2 linked regions of the Struthio camelus genome follow. The protein of the gene in region 2 purifies or fractionates together with the protein of the main gene of each other region. This does not show direct contact. Links are inferred from orthologs where the notes say so. Each region holds a gene or a part of one and is shown on either strand. Other genes may lie near its edges.

The links.
Region 1: the proteins of TICAM1 (region 2) and TLR4 purify together in Homo sapiens (affinity purification with western blotting; 3 studies listed by BioGRID). This does not show direct contact. The link is inferred for Struthio camelus from reciprocal best matches to the Homo sapiens genes TICAM1 and TLR4.

What each region holds. Positions count from the first base shown.
Region 1 is NC_090961.1:9,277,588-9,287,095, forward strand, and holds the start of TLR4 (toll-like receptor 4), read right to left. Parts: upstream 4,366-9,508; 5' UTR 4,194-4,365; coding exon 4,071-4,193; intron 3,258-4,070; coding exon 3,091-3,257; intron 1,721-3,090; coding exon 1-1,720.
Region 2 is NC_090967.1:4,656,599-4,666,988, reverse strand, and holds the start of TICAM1 (TIR domain-containing adapter molecule 1), read left to right. Parts: upstream 1-5,684; 5' UTR 5,685-5,810; exon of another isoform or gene 5,811-6,173; intron 6,174-6,341; 5' UTR 6,342-6,653; intron 6,654-6,754; exon of another isoform or gene 6,755-6,900; intron 6,901-7,098; exon of another isoform or gene 7,099-7,182; intron 7,183-7,759; 5' UTR 7,760-7,906; intron 7,907-8,450; 5' UTR 8,451-8,664; coding exon 8,665-10,390. Other genes in the region: perilipin-3, read left to right, coding at 522-598, 1,091-1,286, 2,198-2,280, 2,632-3,430, 3,965-4,164, 4,433-4,561, 4,646-5,212.

The DNA.
Region 1 (9,508 bases), on a different chromosome or scaffold from region 2:
GTACTTGTAAATTAGAAATAGGGACACAGCTGCAGCGAGTGACATACTCACTGAGAATGCCACTGTGCTTGTTTTGAGCTGGCAGGAGGACAGATCGAAGCTAGATAGACTCACGTTCTTTACATATGCGGGGACGTGGCACATCATCAGCTCCTTATTCTGAAGTATCTCCTGATTTTCCTTGACCCATTTCAGAAAGTTCAGGTATGTGCAAGAGCAATCGAACAGGTTGTGAGAGAGGTCTAACAAGACCAGACTATCAGGCAAGCTTTCCAGGGCCGAGTCCAACAGGACAGTCAGCTGGTTGTGGCTGAAATCCAGGACTGCGAGGGCTTGGAGAGGCTTGTAGACTAAAGGATCAAAGCTCAGCAGCTTATTGTTGCTGATGTTTAGCTCTTTTAGTTCAGAGAGAGCGGCAAATGTACTCTGATCCACCTGTACCAATTTGCAACTTGAAATATCCAAGGTGTGGAGGTGAGTTAGGTTTTTTAAGTTGTTGGCCAGTTTGTTGTTCTCAAAGGAGTTGCCTGCCATCTTAAGCACTTGCAAGGAGTGCAAGCCACAAAATGTGCACTGGGATTTAACATGAGTTCTGGTATAGGAAATATCAAGGTAAATGAGTTTCTGAAGGGAGAGAAAGACAGGGTAGGAGCCAGGACCAATTAACTTTGTGTGCTGAAAGTCCAAGGTTAACAAATTCCTCATATTAGTAAAGTCTCCAGTGACGCTGATGTCAGAATTGAAGCTTAGGTTCAAATATTTCAAATGTGGAGACCCAAGAAAAAGAGGAGAACAGCATTTGGTGAAGGAGAGCCGATTCTCACTCAAATCCATTACTTCCAGGTTAGTTAGATGCTCAAACTTCTGCCGGAAGCTATTGAGGTATTTGCTCTTGGTAATACGAAGCACTCTAAGCTCCTTAAAAAGAGACAGCTTCATGGCAGGCACTTCCTTAAACTTGCATTTCTTGCATTCCAGGTGCTTCACTTGGGAGAACATAGGAACCTTTGACACATCATCTAGTTGGAGGTCCACCAACCGAATACTGGAGACATTGCCTATGCAGTCAAAAAGAGTGTCTGTGTTATTCTCAAAATCCCTAAAACAGATCAAGATGAACTCCTGCATCTGTACCTGGCACAGTCCACTCAAGAGTCCACTCTGAAAGTTCCTCAGTCTCTGAATGTCACTGAATTCTCCAACTATTAATCTGTTGACATGTAAACCAGTCAGACCTTGAAGGGAAGTATGCATCACATTGAAGTTCTCAAAAGAGGACCTTAAAGCCAGCTCACCAAGGTGAAGATTTGCAAAGGACCCTGGCTGGATGTATTTTATATCATTCAAAGAAAGTACCAGTGTGAGGTTGAACCTGTTTGCTTCCCTCAGGGCATCAAGGTCTCCTCTGGATATATACGTGATCTTGTTGGAGAGCAAGCTCAGGTGCCTGAGAGAGGTCAGATTGGCAAAATATTTGGGAAGCTTCAATGAAGCAATGTTATTGTGGCCCATATTCAGCTCCTGCAGGGTATGCAAGTGTCCAATGGGCAGGTCAGTCAGAGAAGATATGTTGTTTTCCACCAATACAAGTCTTTGCAGAGATGTTAAGCCATAGAAAGCTGCTGGCCCCAGGTAGTTGAAGTAATTGGCAGTTAGAATTAAGGTGGAAAGGTTATAAAGATCCTTAAAAGAATTATTTTCAATTGTATGGATGTGGCATCTGTTGGGCAGGAAAAGAGAATAAATGTGCATGAAACATTCTCCTTTTCAATATATATTCACAGACACTATTGCTCTAAGCACTAAAGCAGTGCTCTCAGAATCCACCTCACTGTGGAGGTACATCTGGTTCCAGTGCTCTGGGCAGAGCAGAGCCAGTCCTCCTGAACCCAGCACCTCCCTCGCAAGACTGAATCTACAGGTGAACATTGTGATTTCCCAGGAGAAGGCAGAATTAACCAGCCAAAAAAAAGGTATCCTTGCATATCAGGAAACCTCCTCTCACCTCCTCCTCCCTCCCTAAATCTGGAGTTCAATTGCAAAGCAAGAAATCTTGAGCCATGGTGAAGGTCAAGATGCACATAGGCAGAAGGACAGAAGTGAAAATAGGTGAAAGTCATACTGTGATGCCTATCATTGGTGGCAGAGCCAACCAAATACACCATTCCCTTACACCTTGCATACTTGCAGCCTTTAGACTGTCACTTCAGCCACATCTAGGCCATCACCCTGGCACCAGTGTGCTGCGGCAGTGGCAAAGCTCACAACTCATTCTACAGTTTTACTGTTGATATCTAAGCAGGGACAGTCCTCAGGCCATGTTGGCTGTAAAGGAGAACAGGAGGAGGAAAAAAACAAAGGGGGCCACCTAAAGATTATTTTATACGGGAAAAGCCAAATTTTAAGAGCCAAATGTATTCTGGAATGAATGCAAGCAAAATTAGCTTTACAGCCCAGCCAGTGCCTTACAGTAAACCTGTTCTGCCACTCAGCCACTTCACAGCTGTAACTGTGATGGGGCTGAGTGACATTTTTCAGTGAAGTGGTTTACCCAGAGAAAATCTTGTCTCAAGTTAATTATACATCTATTCAAATTTGCTAATAAGCTTCCCTCGTCTCCTCCCCCAGATATGGGAAGAGAAGACAAAAAGAAAATGTTGATATTTTAAAACAACCTTTTAGAAAATGAATATACCTAGGTTTGTTGTTTTGTTTGTTCTTTTTTTTTTTTTAACTGAGAAAAGAAGAACAGCCCACCTAAAATGTTCCATTTCAGAATTTTTGTAACAGTGAAAAGTCTGACATTTTTCTTGTTTGGAGAGAAGTAAAAGATCCTCCTCCTCCTTCTTCCACCCCATCCCACAGGGGCAGGCTGATAGGCCAAGCTCTGAGCAGAATGCCTGCACCCAATACCTGGACTAAAAGCTGCACATCACTTGGCCATGGGCCTGTGCAGAGAGAGACACACAGAGGCGAAGTCAATAGCAAGAGAATGAACAGCAAAGAGCAGCAAAAACCCAGGATAAGCAACCCCTAAGGCCCAACTGGTGAAACAAGATTAACCTGTATCGATGCGAAAGGGCCCCTTACCTTGTAAGATCCAGAAGCTGAAGTTCAGGGACTGACAAAAAATAGTTTGAGCTCAGTGATTTCAGGTGGCTGAAACTGAGATCCAGGTTCTGAGTGGTATTTGGGACTTGAGTGGGAATTCCAGAGATATTCAGTCCCGTGCATCTGAAAGTTATATTAGGTATGACCTGTAACAGTGACAGATCTGATCACAATCAATACCTGCACTTTACAAACGGTCAGGAAATTGGTCAGGAAAGCAGGGAACAGAATGAGTAACCTTGTAGTTCTTTTCTAAATAAGCTGCCCTTGAGCTTCAGGAAATAATTTCAGGTATCCTAAGCATCTCCCCTACTTTAATAGTACCAGTCTTATTCCCCAGGAAAAGCTACAGTTCTTGCTGATTGAGGCAGGTGCAAAACCACAGGACTATGTTCCTCGAGGCTATGGATGAACTGACAGCAACCTTCAAGAGAGCCAGAAAAACAAACACACAGGATGCCTGGCGTGTCCCAGATCAGCTCTCAGCTTTATTACATCGCAGACAAGCGGATAGTTCTAACAGAAATTGTTCTGTAAGTAATGGGTATCTGCAAAAGTTTGCAAAAGGCTGTTGATCACTGCCAAGTTCTTGGGGTACTGGTGAAACCGCTCTGCAGTACAGATCAGGCTAAAATACTGTACTTTGCAGAAATAATAGATACGTTTTTGATTTCTTCCTGAAGGGCAACATAATCCACTAGCTTAGCTGTACTGTAGTAACTTCAGAGGTACAGAAAGCCAACAAGAAGAAATGGTTCATGCTACTGGTTCTGGTTCTCAGATGTTTTTGAGACCAACATTCACTTCAAATATCAATTGCCTTGGTAACATCCTTGGTAAAAACATGAGCTTTCATAAGACGACTAACCCTACAGATCTGATGCACAAATCTCCCAAGCAGACGGAAAAGTTACTGCAGTGAAACAGAAGGATTTTGTACTCTTTTAGAGATCACATACCTCCAAACAGGGATCAAGGAGGCAGCCTGCCAGCTGTGATGGAACAAATATCAGTCCCAGCAGCACCACGAGTGTCCACAGGGGAAAAACCCCTCTCCTGGGCATCTTCAGGAGGCCAGGCATTCAGGAGAAAGGACCATGGGTATAACTTAAAGACTTGGAGCAAGAAATCTCCTGAAATGCTGAGTGTTTCACCACTCCTGCTTCTCACTGCTCGTCACTGAGAGTTGCACAGAACCACGAAGGAAGTGAAACTGGTAGCTGCCTGGTTTCTAGGCATGCTCTGAGTAAATCTTTCTTCTTGCAGCTACGTGTTTAAAAAATTAGAACAAAAAAAAAAAAAAAAAGGAAGTAATGAAAGGTAGAGTTTGGACTAGAAATTAAAGAGGAATATGAGTTGTGTCAGTGTGTCACTTGACTTGATTGCCTCAGATTAGCTCAGGGCAAACTGGCTAAATACAGAAACTTCTGTGAAATTCTGAGTCCAAATTCAGGAAGGTCATTTTTCACATCCCATAATTTGAATGCACTGTTAGAGTGAATGACTTTCTGCATTAGTCCCCCTGCCATGCTCCCAGATATACCACACTGTCAAGGAGTGGGGTAGCACTTAGGATGAGCAGATGTTTTCTTGAGCCAGGTAATAACAGCGTTATTTGCGGCCGAGCTCTTACGTACGTGCATTTAGGATTTATCCATCTGGCTGTGCCTCAGCCTTGCAATTATTCCCGTAACAAGCACAAAGCTGCACGTGGCAGGGCACAAGTGGCAAAGAAGGGCAGGAGATTCATGGATCAGAGCCACAGGTGCTGGCTCAGCCTGCATGGCAGTGAAAAACCTGCATCAGCTGTGAGCACAGGGCATTGTGCCTCTCTGTGTCCTGCCCTTGGTCGGGAGCTGTTGGGAAGAGTGTACTGGGAGAGGCATGAGCACACCAGCTGGGATTAGAGCTGCTGTGTGCCCTGACTTTGCCTGAATTGTGTTTAAAGCTTTGCTACATGAATTGCAGAGCACCGTCTCTGCACCTTCCTTAATACACAGTGTAGACACAGCAATTGTTTCTAGAAGAGGCTTTGTAAAACCCCAGAGTTGGTAATATCCCTTTAAACAGGCTGTGAGCCCTCTAACAAAGTTCCCTGCCTTTCTTCATCTTGATAAATGGTAGTACTTCCATCTTTCTGTAGATAACTAAGCAGTAGTTAACTAAGCAGTGTTACTGGAGATCCAAATGTTATTAACACATATAGATAGAAGACATGCAAAAATGGGAGATGAGGATGGGATACTAGTTGAGAATAAGATAGAATAGGGAATGACTACTTATGAAAGTCAGAAAATTGATATGATATAAAACATAAGCAATACCAGGCTTACGAAGAAAAGTTTAAAATATTTGGGGAAGAGTGGACTTCTGTAGTGGGTCAGTAGAGGGCCATTGAGGGATGGGGAAAACCTAAAATAACAGATGATCTCTGTGATGAAAAAAATGTGGCAGCACAATGGGAGCTAAAACCGACACCCTGATGTGCAGTCAGACAGCACCCATTAAACCAGCAGACAAAAAGTTTGTAAAACTTGTACAAATTCTGCAAAAACCCCTTTCTGAAAAGGCGCTAGTGATTGCAGGTATTTGCTTTTATAGATGGAATCAAAAGTGAAAGGAAACAATTGCTGACTGCTTCTGTGTCTGGATTAAGGAAATTGGCAGAGCATCGTGTCTGCAGAGAGGACAAATGAATGTGTCCTTTAGCATTCAATATGCAGAATAAAGCAATCCACATTTAATTTTTATCTAAAGCTGAGATGAGCCTGAAGTATGCACTAAAATTACCATTTGAAAGAAGACCCACTGAAGATGCTTGAGAGTTTGGGAGGATCACAAAATCCATCCAACTGCCATGCCTAGGGGTCAAGTGGAAAGTACAACTTGAAGGACATTCAAAGAATACGCTGCTTCTACTGTAGGGGATAGTTTCACAATGCACATCATCACTAGTTCGAGGACAAATCATATACAAACTACAAGGGGTGGAGCACAAGCATAAAGCATGCAACTAATGAATCAAACCCAGCCACCAGTTTAGAAAGTCAATGCCAGTAAACCTCATATTCTTCAGCTTGGATATAACAATGTGCAATGACTGGAGAGAGCCATAATGTCTCTATAATTGCCTCCTTCAGTTCAGAAGAAACAAAAGTATTGTGTGGAATTCTTTAAAGTGGCAAGAATAACATCTAAATTGACACATGATTCACTGTGCTGGCAATTTACTGGTGGGGTCATTAAAGATCTCTTAGAAAGGAGAGGTTACAGAAAATCTCAATGTTTCTAAAAACACCTGTCTGGGAAAGCTTTGCTCTCCTGAACAACGTTATAATATAAGTAACACAACAGCAAACAGTATGTACTCAACCTCTGTGATCTGAAGCAGAGTAGTCAGGCATTACCTGGCATAGGATGGCCATGATGTAGTCAGACTGACAAAGCATCTTGTGTTTTCGTATACAAAAAACAATAATCATGAAGTCTGGCTGAAAAATTTTTTTTGCAAAACTCTTGGACAATACAGCTGGTAATATCTTCCAGGCATTCATTAAGGAAATTTGAAAGTATTTGAACAGTATATGAATTCTTAACATCTGCAAAGTGACCCAGCAGCTTGCTAAGGAGGCAAAGGTAGCAAGAGGACCTCACCATCTCTAGGACTCTATAATATGAGGTTAGCTGGGGCAAACGGAGTTGTCCTGATATATCAGTGACATGAATAAATAGTTGTAACTATGGTGATTTCAAGGCCACAGCTAACCCGATATCACATGCAGATTAATTGCTATTGCTCAGACCTTCCAAAAGTCTCAGGCACGCAATCACACTACACCTGATAACCAAGTATTGCTCTCAGATGGGTTGCAGCACTGGCCTTGTGTGCCTTCCTAGATCGCACAATATCAGCTAACATAACTCAGCTTAACAGTCACATGTAGTGAATTAAGCCTAAACTGCCTTGTGTTGCAGCTAGAGTCTAGGCTCAGAACACGGAACCAGCTAGTGAGTGCTCAAGGTTTAGCTGATGCACAGTCACTTTTTATGCTCAGCAAGTCAGTCTCCTGCCCAAATTTCAAAGGCTGTCTGAGTGGATAGGAAAAAAAAAAAGAAAATGTCTCAAAAATTCAGCAGGATGTTGAATTTTCTCAGCCGTTCTGCTGGGAAAAACAATTTGTATAAATCACAAGGAAAAATGAAAAAAAATCAGAGATGCCTTCGAGATCCTTTTGCTTCAAAGGGTACCACAAGCACATTGCTTCCTGGGAACGGCTAGGTACCGCCTCATACAGCAGCTGCGTGGCATCCCCTGACTGGCCTGATAGACACTGATTAGAGATGGCCCTAATCCATACCGAGGCTGGCAAGGGAGCCGAGACACTAATATCATCAGGAAGGGTCCTTACTACAGTATCTTGGTGCCTATAACATTTGCTTGTGCTGCTTCCCCATATGAAACAGGTGTAGTAATTTCACACTTGATCAGCCTGAAAGACCTATTGCCTTCAGCTCAGGGTTTTGTGTGTCTGAAGAGCAGAACCATGTTCAGATTGAGAGAGAAACTCTGCAATTAGTTGGGGCGGGGGGCTTCATCACTAGACAGCTTCACCACTGCCTGTTTGAGCAATGCTTGACTCTAGTTACAGGTCATTAAACCACTAGTTTCAAAGCAAGGAGTGCCAGCAATGTAGATTGCTTGTCAAGCCTGTGATTGTAAGTGACAGGTAAGGACATGGAGGTGGAAGGAGAGAGAGTCTCTCTACATGCTATATGGCACAGAGCAAGTGACACCCATATAGAACCACCCAAAACAAAACATAGTCTGGCATAGCTAAAGTGTCTTTCATTGCAGTAAAGGACAGATATTGGTGTACACAGGGGAAAGAAACAAAATCAAAAGTTAATGTCCAAGTCAGTTTGATCAAAAACAGTCTACATCAGAGTAGGTAATGTGTGTCATCAGATGAGATATTCCCCAAAGCCAAGGTCACATGAATACCCCAGAACCATGCAGAATCTATTAGGGAAGAACTGTGTCAGGTAACTAGGGACAAATACACAACTAGAAGAAGTGATTAATCAGTGTCAAGATAGTCACTATCTGTGGCAGCTACTCCATATGGACTATGTCAGGTCAGTTTGGAGCCCTACATTTTACTGCAGTCGATGTTTAATCTAAACGGTTGGGAGGATTTCACACAGATGGTGGAAGCATCCAAACTTACTTGCCAAGTGTTCATGGATAGACAGTGAGTGAGAATGAATCTGCCTTCGCTCCTGGAGAGAGACTGGCTGGTACCAAAGACCCCCTGCAGTGCTGTGCCCTTCTGCCAAGGATTAATCACTGTTGCACCTCAGCTGTCCACTGAGCTGGGGATGCAGTGCTGCCATTGATGCAAGGATGTTCACAGTGCTGTGGCATGAATTGAACTGTGATCAGAAGGGGTATTACTGCCTTTTCGCAGCCCTGAGGAGGGTGGATTTATCAGCTCAGATCGATGCTAGCTTTTGCTACTCAAGCAACAATAGGACTCATTTTCCTTGTCTTTCACCCCTTTTACTTCCTTATTATGGTATCTCGTAGCCTAATTTACATATGTTTTGTATTAGTGTGGCTTTGCTTTATCCTACTTATTCCACCTTCTTTCCCCCAGTTCTCTTGATATTAATAATGAGTCTGCTGTAGGGCAAGGATTCATTCAGACTGTCAAACAAGAAATGTGTGTAGGACCTGCAGGACTGCAAATCACAGACTTTCAATGGACCTGCATGGCAGGACTCCTACTCATGCCACTGCAAACCAGACAACAAGACAGGTTACTTTTGGGATTCAGGGCCACCACTGAAGCATGGTTAAACACTAAGTCCCTACTTCATAACTCCTCCACTCTGGAAAAGGTTGGAACAAGAGGCATCTGTAATGAATTGTGGTCACTTAGAAACGTTACAGAACCCTGTTTTAAGGGAAAGCACATCAGCCAGTTCTCAAACATGAATTCAAAAAGTTGTGTAATGGACCTGCTTGCTGCAAGCACTGAGAGCATTGCCACAGGCAGTGACCAATGGTAAAACTCTTGAGCCTCATATTTATGGTCTCACTACCGTGACTTGTCACTACATGACAGGAAGATGTTGCAACAACTGCTGCAAAAAGTACAGAGACGGCTCCTGAAAGCCGTGGTAAAGTTCTTGTATATGTTACCCAGAGAGAAAATGTAAACCATCTCTTGGGCTTGCCTCACAGTATGCTTTTTACATCAGCTGTTGGACATTAATATTTTTATGTCATTTTACCCTACCAGGAGCGGAACACAGAGCATTAGTCATTTACATAGTTGAGAGCCCAGTTTCACTGTTTACAAAGCAATAACTTCCAAAATACTAGTCAAGTAAA
Region 2 (10,390 bases):
TCTGTCATGATCAGTGAGACAAATATGCAGTGATCCACGCCATTAGCACCACTTCTGCAGCGTGCAGTTTTCATCCAAGCGTTCCAGTCCTGGGGCAGTAAAGACTCTTTGCAGTGAGAAGCTGAAGTCCCTCTTGTAGAGGAAATACACCACTGAGATAAGTGGGTGAGAACTGTTGTTTGTTTTTTTTTTTCAGGCCTGTGATTTTGAAATCAGTCAAATGTTACCAGCAATAAAATAAGTAGGATGGCCCCTTCTTGTTAAGAACACTTGGCTGCCGGGGCGGAGGGAGGTGACTGAGTACAGTCCCTAGTGCAAGTGTGTTTGACCATGTAAATCATGAAGCCTCTCAAATATCTTCACGCTCTTTTGCAAGAAAGACTAGTGATTCCCTGAAGCTCCTAGGCCATGACTGATCCCAAATGCATCACCCTCTGCTTCTCACCACTGTTGCTAGATTTTAATTCACTGGTGGAAACTTAAGTTGTACTATTGCTGTTACCCTATTTTTTCCTTTCCAGCTGCAGCTGACTTGACTATGGCATCTGAAAAGACCACAAAAAATGATCCGCTAAAAGCTAAGGAACAGCAGCAAGCGGTAGGTGCCAAGACAGCTGGTACTCCAACATGCAGCTGTTAAACTACCTGCTAACGGATACAGTGGTAAACTAACTTCTGTCACCATCTCAAATCCAGGCTGGGAGCAGGGGAAAGATTAACCATATGAAGCCATGACTAAATCTAAACCTTTAGTTAATGCAGAGGCTGACTTTTCTTGCTCAAGAAAGAGAACTCCAGGGCTGGCTCAAGCAATGCACATAATTCTGAAACATTGGCTGGTATAGGTCCTATTTCCAAATCTGGGCTTGATGGTACTAAAGCCTTGTATGACTCAGATGTGACAGAGCTCCAGCTTCTAATTCTGGCTTGCCACTGATTGCTAATGGTTTTAAGACAAGACCCTTCAACTGTGAGCTCGATGAGGAGATGGACTTGATAGCACTTAGGACCTTTCTGGATCTATACATGGTTTGCATTCGCTCACCAACTTGAGGCAGAGTGTCTAATATCACTTATTTCTCTCTTTTAGAGTGCTGTTAGCAGGGTGACCAACCTGCCCTTGCTGAACTCTGCATTCAACCTGGTCTCATCTGCCTACAACTACACCAAGGAGACGCACCCTTGCCTCCACAGTGCCTGCAATGTGGCCGAGACTGTGGCCGCTGTCGCAGTCGGCAGCGTGGTTGGTGGTGCACAGCCCATTCTGAACCAACTTGAGCCGCAAAGTAAGTGAAGAGGCTGGAGACGCCCCCCTCTCCCCACAGAGGGGATAGGTGGGAAGGGAGCCTCACAGGCCCTCTGAGGCCCTGGTGACATAGACCAGGCTCAGCAAACACCCTGAGTAACAGGATCAGGTACCAGTCCTATGCCATGAGGTAAACTTCTCACTCCTCATGAAAGAAGGAAGAGGAAAAAAATCAACTTTTTTCTCTTAGCCATATGTAGTCTTCAACAAGTAAACTACCTCTAAATGACATTAGAAGTCTCCTCTTAAAACCATGTCTCTTGCAAAGTCATTCCCACATTATTTTGGCTTATGTGACAAAGCCTAGATAACCACCATGAGCTTAGATGATACCCCTGCTTCGTTAAGGTGCAAGTGATGCCCCTTCTGGGTAACATCTCCTACAGCACATCCTACAACACTTGTAGTATTGCTGACTCCTCCACTGCTCCCAGCCACTCCATAGGCCCACTGAATTTGATGGATAAGGGATTGTCACTAGCAGAAGCCAAGTTTGACCTCATCTGTGGCTTCTTTAAGTGGAGAGGCAAAAGCTCCCTGCTCTGCCTCTATCGCTTCAAGTTGTGAATATCCCATCAGGTAGTATCAGTGTTTATTCTGCCTTTTGCTCAGTTTGTCTCATCCCAAGACAGTAAAAAGCCATTAATCCGCTTCCCTATCCACTGGAAACAAGTACCACGCTCTGGCTGGAGCGATGTGCTCTCAATTGCTAGAAGGCTGGGAAGGCAAAACGAAGAGACTATTTAGCGAGACCCTGACCACCACCCGTACCCCAAACAATGATCTACTTTATTTGCTCTCATGAGCTCATCCTGGATTGGCCATTGTAGGATCAAAAAAGCCTCCAAACTCGAGTAGAGGGACTAACCTGGTACCTGTCCTTCTGTCTAGTTGCACTTGTAAATGAATATGCCTGCAAGGGACTGGATCAGCTGGAGGAGAACTTGCCTTTTCTTCAACAGCCAGCAGATAAGGTAAAGCAAAGGCTTTTTCCAGGGAAGCCATGGCTCACTCTTCTTGCTTGATATAACTGTTATGGGTACAGAAGTATATGGGGAAACTAACTTGGGCAGTGCTGCTTTGTCAGGTCAGTTCCTGGATATGGGCTACAGCTGCCTGAGCTAGAGAAGGCATTGCTAGCTGATGAAAGCCGAGGCTCTGCCTTCAGCGTGTGGAAATAGATTTCCATGTGAATACAGATGTACTGATTTCCTCACCTTTCCCACAAGAGTGCAGGCACAGCATAGCCATGTGAAAAGCTCCCTGAGGGAGGGAAACCTATTCTGGAAAAATGCATCATCTTTCTCTGCCTCACCTTGTTGTAGGTCATCTCAGACACCAAGCAGCTGGTTTCTGCCAAAGTGACATCTGCTATGGATGCTGCCTGTGAGGCAAAAGAAGCAATGGCTGATAAAGTGACTGAAGCGGTGGACCTCACTAAAAATGTTGTTGGGGACAGTGTTAAACTGACCAGGTCAATGGTCACCTCCACTGTCACCAGTGCTATGGAGGCTGCTCAGGGTGCAAAGGAGCTCGTGACTAACAGGGTGACTGAGGCAGTGGACCTCAGTAAACACATTGTGGAGGACAGCATTGGACTGACCAGGTCAGCAGCTGCTTCTACTATCGTCAGTGCTGTGGAGGCCGCTCAGGGTGCGAAGGATCTTGTGACTAACAAGGTGACTGAAGCAGTGGACCTCACTAAAAACATTGTGGAGGACAGCGTTGGACTAACAAAGGCCGCAGTCGCTTCTACTGTTACTGCGGCTGTAGGGGCTGCCCAGGGTGCAAAGGATCTCGTAACCAACAAAGTGACTGAAGCAGTAGACCTAACCAAAGAGGCTGTTCAGGATGGTGTTGAGAAGACTAAATCAATGGTCACTTCTACAGTCAATACAGCTCTGGATGCTGCATATGGCACCATAACTAGCAAAATGAATACAGCCCTGGAGCACAGCAGAGAGGCTATCCAGGAGGGGGTGGAGCTCACTAATTTCATGGTGACCAACAGCATAAGTAAAGCCAAGGCAATGGGCCAAGCAGTGGCAGGTGGTGTGGAATCTGTCCTGGATATATCAGAAGATCTGGTGGATCACTACCTCCCCATGACAGAGGAGGAGCTGGGTAAGAAAATGCTTAGCTGGTAGCTGTAACTGCAAATCACTTTCCACATGATTAGAGAGCACCTGACACTGCAGGAGTCATCTTTTGAAGCAGATAGGTAGCTCTGAATATCACCCAGTTGGCTTTCTGTCACCACTGACGTGCTACGTGGTATAGGACAGAGTTCAAGCACGTGCTAGCTACTCCTTGGTTTGCCTATCAGCCTCAAGGCAAACAACAACTGGGTACATGCTTCAACCTATTTGTCAAGTCTGCTTATCTGAAGAGAGCCCTTCAAGCTGGGACTGGCCTAGTTGTAATCTCTGAACAACTGCCAACCCCTACCACTTATACAGCGAGATTTAGCTTCCTCCCATGTTTCACAATGGGCAAATCTTACCTTTTCCCCCTCACAGCTGGGAGAGCAGAGCATGGAGACAAAGGAGTGAGGGTAGAGGCAGCTGGGCTTTGCCCTGATGGCTCCAGGGCCAAAGGGGATGGGGCACAGGGTAGAGAAGAGACATCTGTTGACAGCTGGATCTCTGTACCCTCTAGGTCAACTTGCCACTGCTGTTGAGGGATTTGATATGGCCTCTGTGGAGGAGCAGAAACAGCAGCGGAGTTACTTTGTGCGTCTGGGCTCCCTCTCTAACAAAGTCCGCCTCCGAGCCTACCGGCACTCCCTGAACAAACTGCAGCGTGTTAAGCAAAGCACGCGGGATACTCTCTCCCAGCTGCAACTAGCAATAAACCTGGTACAAACACCCTTTTTCTTTTCTATCCCACTCCGCAGAGTCTTCTTTCCCCCTGCTAGCACCCAGATGGAGGTGCTTCCTCCATTCTGCACCTAAGGTATGTTTTCTGCTGCATGTCCCTTTGAGTCCCTCCCTGACAGGTAACACTGCAGAATGTGATTCTGGAAGCTGCTTCTTTATAACATGACTCCAGTGCTTAGCAGACAGGAGCGCTTGTGCTGCTTTGTATGTGCTTGCAATGTAACTGTTCCTCATCTCTTTCCATCAGATAGAGCGTGTGAAAGACGAGGTTGGCCAGAAGCTTCTGGACGGGCAGGAGAAGCTCCATCAGCTATGGCTAGACTGGAGCCTGACCCAACCCAAGGGACACCAAATTAAAACTGCCTCCCAACCAGAGGTATCCCTAGAAGGGTGTAATCAGACCTTTTGTGGATAGCGGGCATCTCATCTGCTACAGTAACTGAGCTGTATTCTTTCCTAGCAGGTAGAGTCACGGACCCTAGCTATGCTGCATATCATCACCCAGCAGCTACAACCTGCATATGAGAATCTGAAAGCCAGCATTCAAGGCCTCCCCAGCAACATCCAAGAAACTGTACATCAAGCCACTCAAAGCATCCAGAAGCTCCACACTTCTTTTTCCAGTGCTAAGTCCTTCCAGGACCTCTCTGGCAGCACCTTGACCCAGAGCCAGGACTGTGTGAGGGAAGCCCAAAGATCCCTAGATGACTTGCTAGAATATGTAACTCTCAACGCCCCTCTAAACTGGCTTGTGGGCCCTTTCAGGGCATCAGCCAAAGTATCACAAGACAGCAGAAAGGAGAAGAAATGCAGTATGATGACTGATATGAAATCACCTGCTTTGGAAAAGGGTATGTCACCAAAGGAGGTAGCTGAAGCCCCCAAGGAATCAAAGGGGGCAAACAGGATCCTGGGGGAAGGGTCTAAAGTGCTAGACAGGTTGGAGGAGAAGGTAGAGAAATGCACAGGAGAGGTGACAAAACCTGCAGAGGAGATAGTAACTAATGCACCAGAGGAGGAGCTCTGAAAAATCCCGGTTCTTCTAACCCAAACCCCTTGGCTAGAACTTCTTTTAATCATGTGCCCAGCTGCCAATCTTACAGGAATGCCTCCTGCTCTGACACTATCCCAGGCTTTGGAGGTATGTAGCTGAGCTTACAGAAGATGTAGTTTGCAAGGTGACTTGATAACCAAGGTGGGCTGATTCTGGCATAAAGGTTGCATACCTTTTACTAAAGCATGCTGCATTGAAAGGGAAGATGGGGACCTGTATTTTGGCTTTTTAAATAAGTCAGCACAGCTGTGAATGGCTAGTTCTTGCTGAGAGGAGTTGTAGGAGAGAAGAAATGGTCTTGAAACTTATTTTTAATGTTGGAGCTTTTTTTTAATTAATCCAAGCTGCATCTTAAGAGGATGATGCACTTGGCCTCTTTGATACTGTTCCCTCCTGCTACAAGTTTAGAACTCAGCATTACAGACACTACTTCCTTCCTGACTGTGCCACTTCCTGTGAGGCTGAGACATGCAGCAGACCAGGAACAGCTGGGGGCAAGAGGGTCCTTCCCAAAGGAGACCTCTCTTTACAGAGCAGCCAAACACTTTTCCTTCAGAGAAACACTTACAAGGTGGGATTTTTCTTTTGAGCATGCCAACTTTCAGTGAGATTACTTTCTTAATCCATGTAAGTGACTTTAAGGACCGTCTGTTTGTGTTTAAGTAACTCCATGCATGAAACGTTTTGCAGCCATTAAGAAGCTGGTTTATGAGGCAGCTTTTCCCAGGAGTTCTCTACCATGGTTATGGGATATCTTGTCATTAAAATAGGGGTGATGGGTCCTGTTTTCTTCCCACTAAATAATGTTTTTGTAATTATTCTTAGCCTAACTTATTTAGGTAGCCCATGTCCTGGTATGTGAATAGTGCTAATGCTGGAGAAATGGAAAAAGGCAAACAGATTTCAAAATAAAATTTGGACTGTTTTCACATGAATATCTTTCTCTCATGTATCTAAGGCTGCAGCAGCTCTGATGAGCAAGCAATAGCATCATCTTCTCCCCTTAACCTGAGCCTGTAGGAAGCATTTTAAAGAATTACTTTTCTAGGCAGTTCATCTCCTAATTGCTCTTTTCCCCTCTGGCTTTTCTCCCCTTTGCTAGAACTAAACACTCTGAGCTGGACCCAAGCTCTGCCTCAGTCTTTAGTAGAAAAGTATTTCGACTGTCCTGCCTCCTGGAAGCTTCTGCCTGTACCCCTGGGCTTCAGCTCTGCCCACCCCACTCCCAGCATCAGCCCTACTTGCATCAGTCTCCAGCTCCAACCTCCACCCGACTTGCCTTAACCATCTTTCTGTCCTCCTACTGCTGCCAAACCCCCATGCTTTGAGGAAACAAAACCAAAACTTTCGCTAGACAAAAAAGGTTCGTGTTCAGGGTCTGCTCTCAGCTGCTCGGTGCTACCTTCAGAGGAGGGTAAGTACCGGCAGAGGGCCGGGCTAGCGCCCCGGGCCGCTAATAACCGACCTCATGGTGGGGCGGGGGGGCTCCTTCCGCTCAGCCGCGCCGAGACCCACCTGCCTCGGGTACCGAGTGCTGCCTCCGGGCCGGCCGGGGGAGTCCCGCTCCGCACCGGGCTGCCCCTGCCCCGCTCCGCCCCGGTGCCACCGGGCTGCCCCTGCCCCCCGGCGCCCCCGCTGCTTCCCGCCGCTCCGGGCTGCCCCTGCCCCGCTCCACCGCTCCGCCCCGGCGCTCCCGGGCGCCGCCGCTTCCTCGTGTGACATCAGGGCCCGTCGGGGAGCAGGCGGCTCCCCGCGGCCCCGGCGAAACCGAGAGCGCCGCGTTTCCACCTGCCCCCGGCCCGCCTGGGAAACGCTGCCCGGGCGCCGCCGCCGCATCCCCCCCCCCCCCCCCCCCCCGCCCCGCGCCGGGGGAGCCGGGGCAGCTCCCGCGGCCTCCGCCGAGCCGCTCGGATCGCCGCGGCGGCGGCCGGGCCCTGCCGGAGGTAGGCTGGTCCCTTCGCAGCGCTGGCCCCGGCTCGCGCCTCGGGGAGGAGGGCTGCAAGAGCAGGCGGCACAGAAGAGCGGAGGGGGCGAAGGTGGAAGCGTTACTGAGGGTCGGAGGGCAGAAGGGGGGAGAGATCGGCCTCGGGGCCCTGCTCGGCTCCCCACCGGTTTTTAAGAGCTCGTCGTGCAAGAGAGCAAGCTCAAAGCTGCAGGCTCTGGAGCAAGATGCCCAGCGAGAGGGAGCAGAGAGTTAGGGGAGTAGTGGGAGGTTTTGCTGACTCACAGAGGGGTAGAACATAAATAAGTGTCAAAGGTCTCCTCTACTGTTTTTGAATGCCTGGACTTCCTTTTTTCTTTTTTTTTTTTCCCTTCCTTTCCTTCCTTAGATGTTTCACTGAATCAGAAGTTTTCATAGAAAGACAACAACTTCCTCAGGCTCAGCTTGAGCTCATTCATTAAGCAATTAGAGGATTTTTATGAGATAGAAAAACAATTTGAAATTACAAACTTTCCCCAGAAGTTTGGTTGTTGAGAGCTATTTTTAAACACATTTTTTTCTGGCTTTCCTTTAAATAGAGAAAGATTTTTTCAAACGGATCAGTCGCTGCCAGTGCATCTTCAGCAACTTCTCGCCTGCCTGCCACAGACCTGCCGGAGGCCCAGACCTCCCTCGCTCTACGGACAAGTGCTGCTGGCTAATTTAACTCCGTTCAGCTGGCTTTGGTGAGTGCAAAGGCTTAGCTGGGTTCAGGGATTAGATGCATATGACCATAACGCGTATGTCCACAATTACATTAGACAGCTTGAAAGTGGACGCGAAAGGAATACAAACCTTCCTGGCAGGGTACGAGCGATTTGAAAAGACGCGGAGCCTGTAATCGGCAGGAGGCTTCCTCTAAGCGGGGCTTTATTCCTTAACTGCTCATTACAAGGATGCTGTGAGGCCCCTGCAATCAGCCCCTGCCCAACAGAGGCCACTGGTGGAGATGGACTGTTGATATGAACCAGCTGGACACTTGGATTTACCTAAATATAGTATTAGTTTAGCAATTATTTTAAAACAGTTTAGTTGACATATAACGAACGTGAAGGACTTGCTGTTTGCCTAATAATAGACTTGGGATAATGTGTGGAGCACGTTTCAGACAAGCCTCGGGATATGCAAGTACCAAGTAGATGCAAAAATATTTATCTACAAACCTTTCGAGGAGTCTCCCAAGCTCCCTGCCTCACTATTTCTGAACACTGCCCTTTTTTCTACTCACAGGTTCATCTGGCCAGTTCTTCAAGGCAGAGACTGTCCCTGACTCTGAGATGAGCCCGTGAGCAACAAGGACCTATTCCTTGTGCAGTACTTAAAAGTACGTACGACCAGGGCTTCAGAGAGCACCATAAGGAAACAAACCTTTGCTCTAGAGACTGTAATATGCTTTTTCCATCCATGCTTCTTCAGCGCATTGTCTGGAGAAGCAGCTGATGAGATGGCACAGAGTGCTGAGGTCCAGCCAAGCTTTGAAGACATTTTTAATATTCTCTCCCAGATCCCAGGAGATAAACTCCTTAACCTCAAACATAAACTGAAGCACTTGATATCTAAGCCCAGCAGCAAATTATTGCAAGCCATGGTCCTGCTTACTTTGGGGCAAGAAGCAGATGCAAGAATTTGTCTGGATACTTTGAGGAACGACCAGGCAGCCCTATATATCCACAGGACCAGACTGGGCACTGCGAGAGTACAGGAAGACGGTGAGGATTTGCAGCCCCCCCAGCTGGATGCAGATGCCATAGCGCTTCTGGCACAGATCTACTCGCTGCTGGTAGACGAAAAACTGTGCAGTCGGGAAGCTATGGTCAGAGCCTACCAGACTGCCATCAAGGCCTGTGACACTAGCGGGAACCCTCAGCGGGAACCACTGAAGAGCATCCTGGCTGAGGCTCAGGAAAAATGTGGTGCTGCTATCAGCTTTATGGGTTCAGGTGGCAGGTTCCAGATGATGAGATCGGACCCGGGATTTCTCCAGACTGCCAGCCCAAACCGTGTGGCACGAAGTTCCCCAGTGCAGATCGGAAATGTGTCGGACCTTTCAGGCCCACGGACCTTGCGCTCCTCGGGGAGCCCAGCTTCTTTCATCAGTCACTTTGAGATCAGTGAATCGCCAACAGCCGTTTTTCACACCCAGCCTCCTCACTGTAACCATGTCCCCCAGCTGAGCCAGCTGTGTGCAGAGCCTATGAGCTGTGCTGGAGAGCCTGCCAGGGAGAGCGAGAGCCACGGCCTGCAGGAAACAAGCTGGGCCAACAGCACCAATTCACATCCCATGCAGGGCACAACCGCCCATGTCCCCAGACCAAAGATGGAGGTTCTGCAGACCAGTTCTTGTCATCCATTTCTCCCTATTCCTGAAATTCAGCTTCCTACACCGAGTGCTGTGAACCAACCTGTCGAAAGTAGTGATGTTTCCAGCACAGTGACAGCAGAACCTCAGGCACCAAAAGAAGGCACAGCCCAAAAGCAAGAGGACTTACCTACAGGTCTTCCTGATTCAAGAGCCACAGCGCACACTGGTCCCATCCACACGTCTGCAGAGGATATTCCAGCAGGTACATCTTCCCATACTACATCTCCTACTTCAGCCTGTTCCCTTCCTCCTCATACACCTTCCTTCTCCCCAGCCCTTCCCCCTCCTCTTCAGGCAGTTCCTCCCAACTCAGCATATCCCTCTTCCTTCCATTCATCCTCCTCTCCAGCCTACCCTCCTCCTGTCCAAAATGCAGAAGCAGCATCCACATCAGAGCCAGATGAAGAGAGAAAGTTCTTCACTTTTGTTGTCCTGCATGCTAGTGAAGATGTGGACATTGCCTGTCGGGTCAAGGAGCTGCTGGAAAGCATGGGGGTTCCCAATGGTGCCACATTCTGCGAGGACTTCCTCACTGCTGGACGTGGCCAGCTGTTTTGCTTCCAAGATGCTATGGAAAACTCTGCTTTCACCATCCTTTTGCTGACCAAGAACTTCCTGTGCCAGCTGTGCATGTTTCAAACAAACTCAGCTCTGATGGAGTCCATCCTGCGACCATCCAAGCACAACTCAGTCATCCCTTTTGTTCCCAGAGAGAACCCCTTGGAGAGGAGGGAGATTCCCGCCCTACTGAGCGGGCTGGTGTCCTTGGATGAGAACTCCCCTGTGTTCTCCAAGACAGTAAAGAACA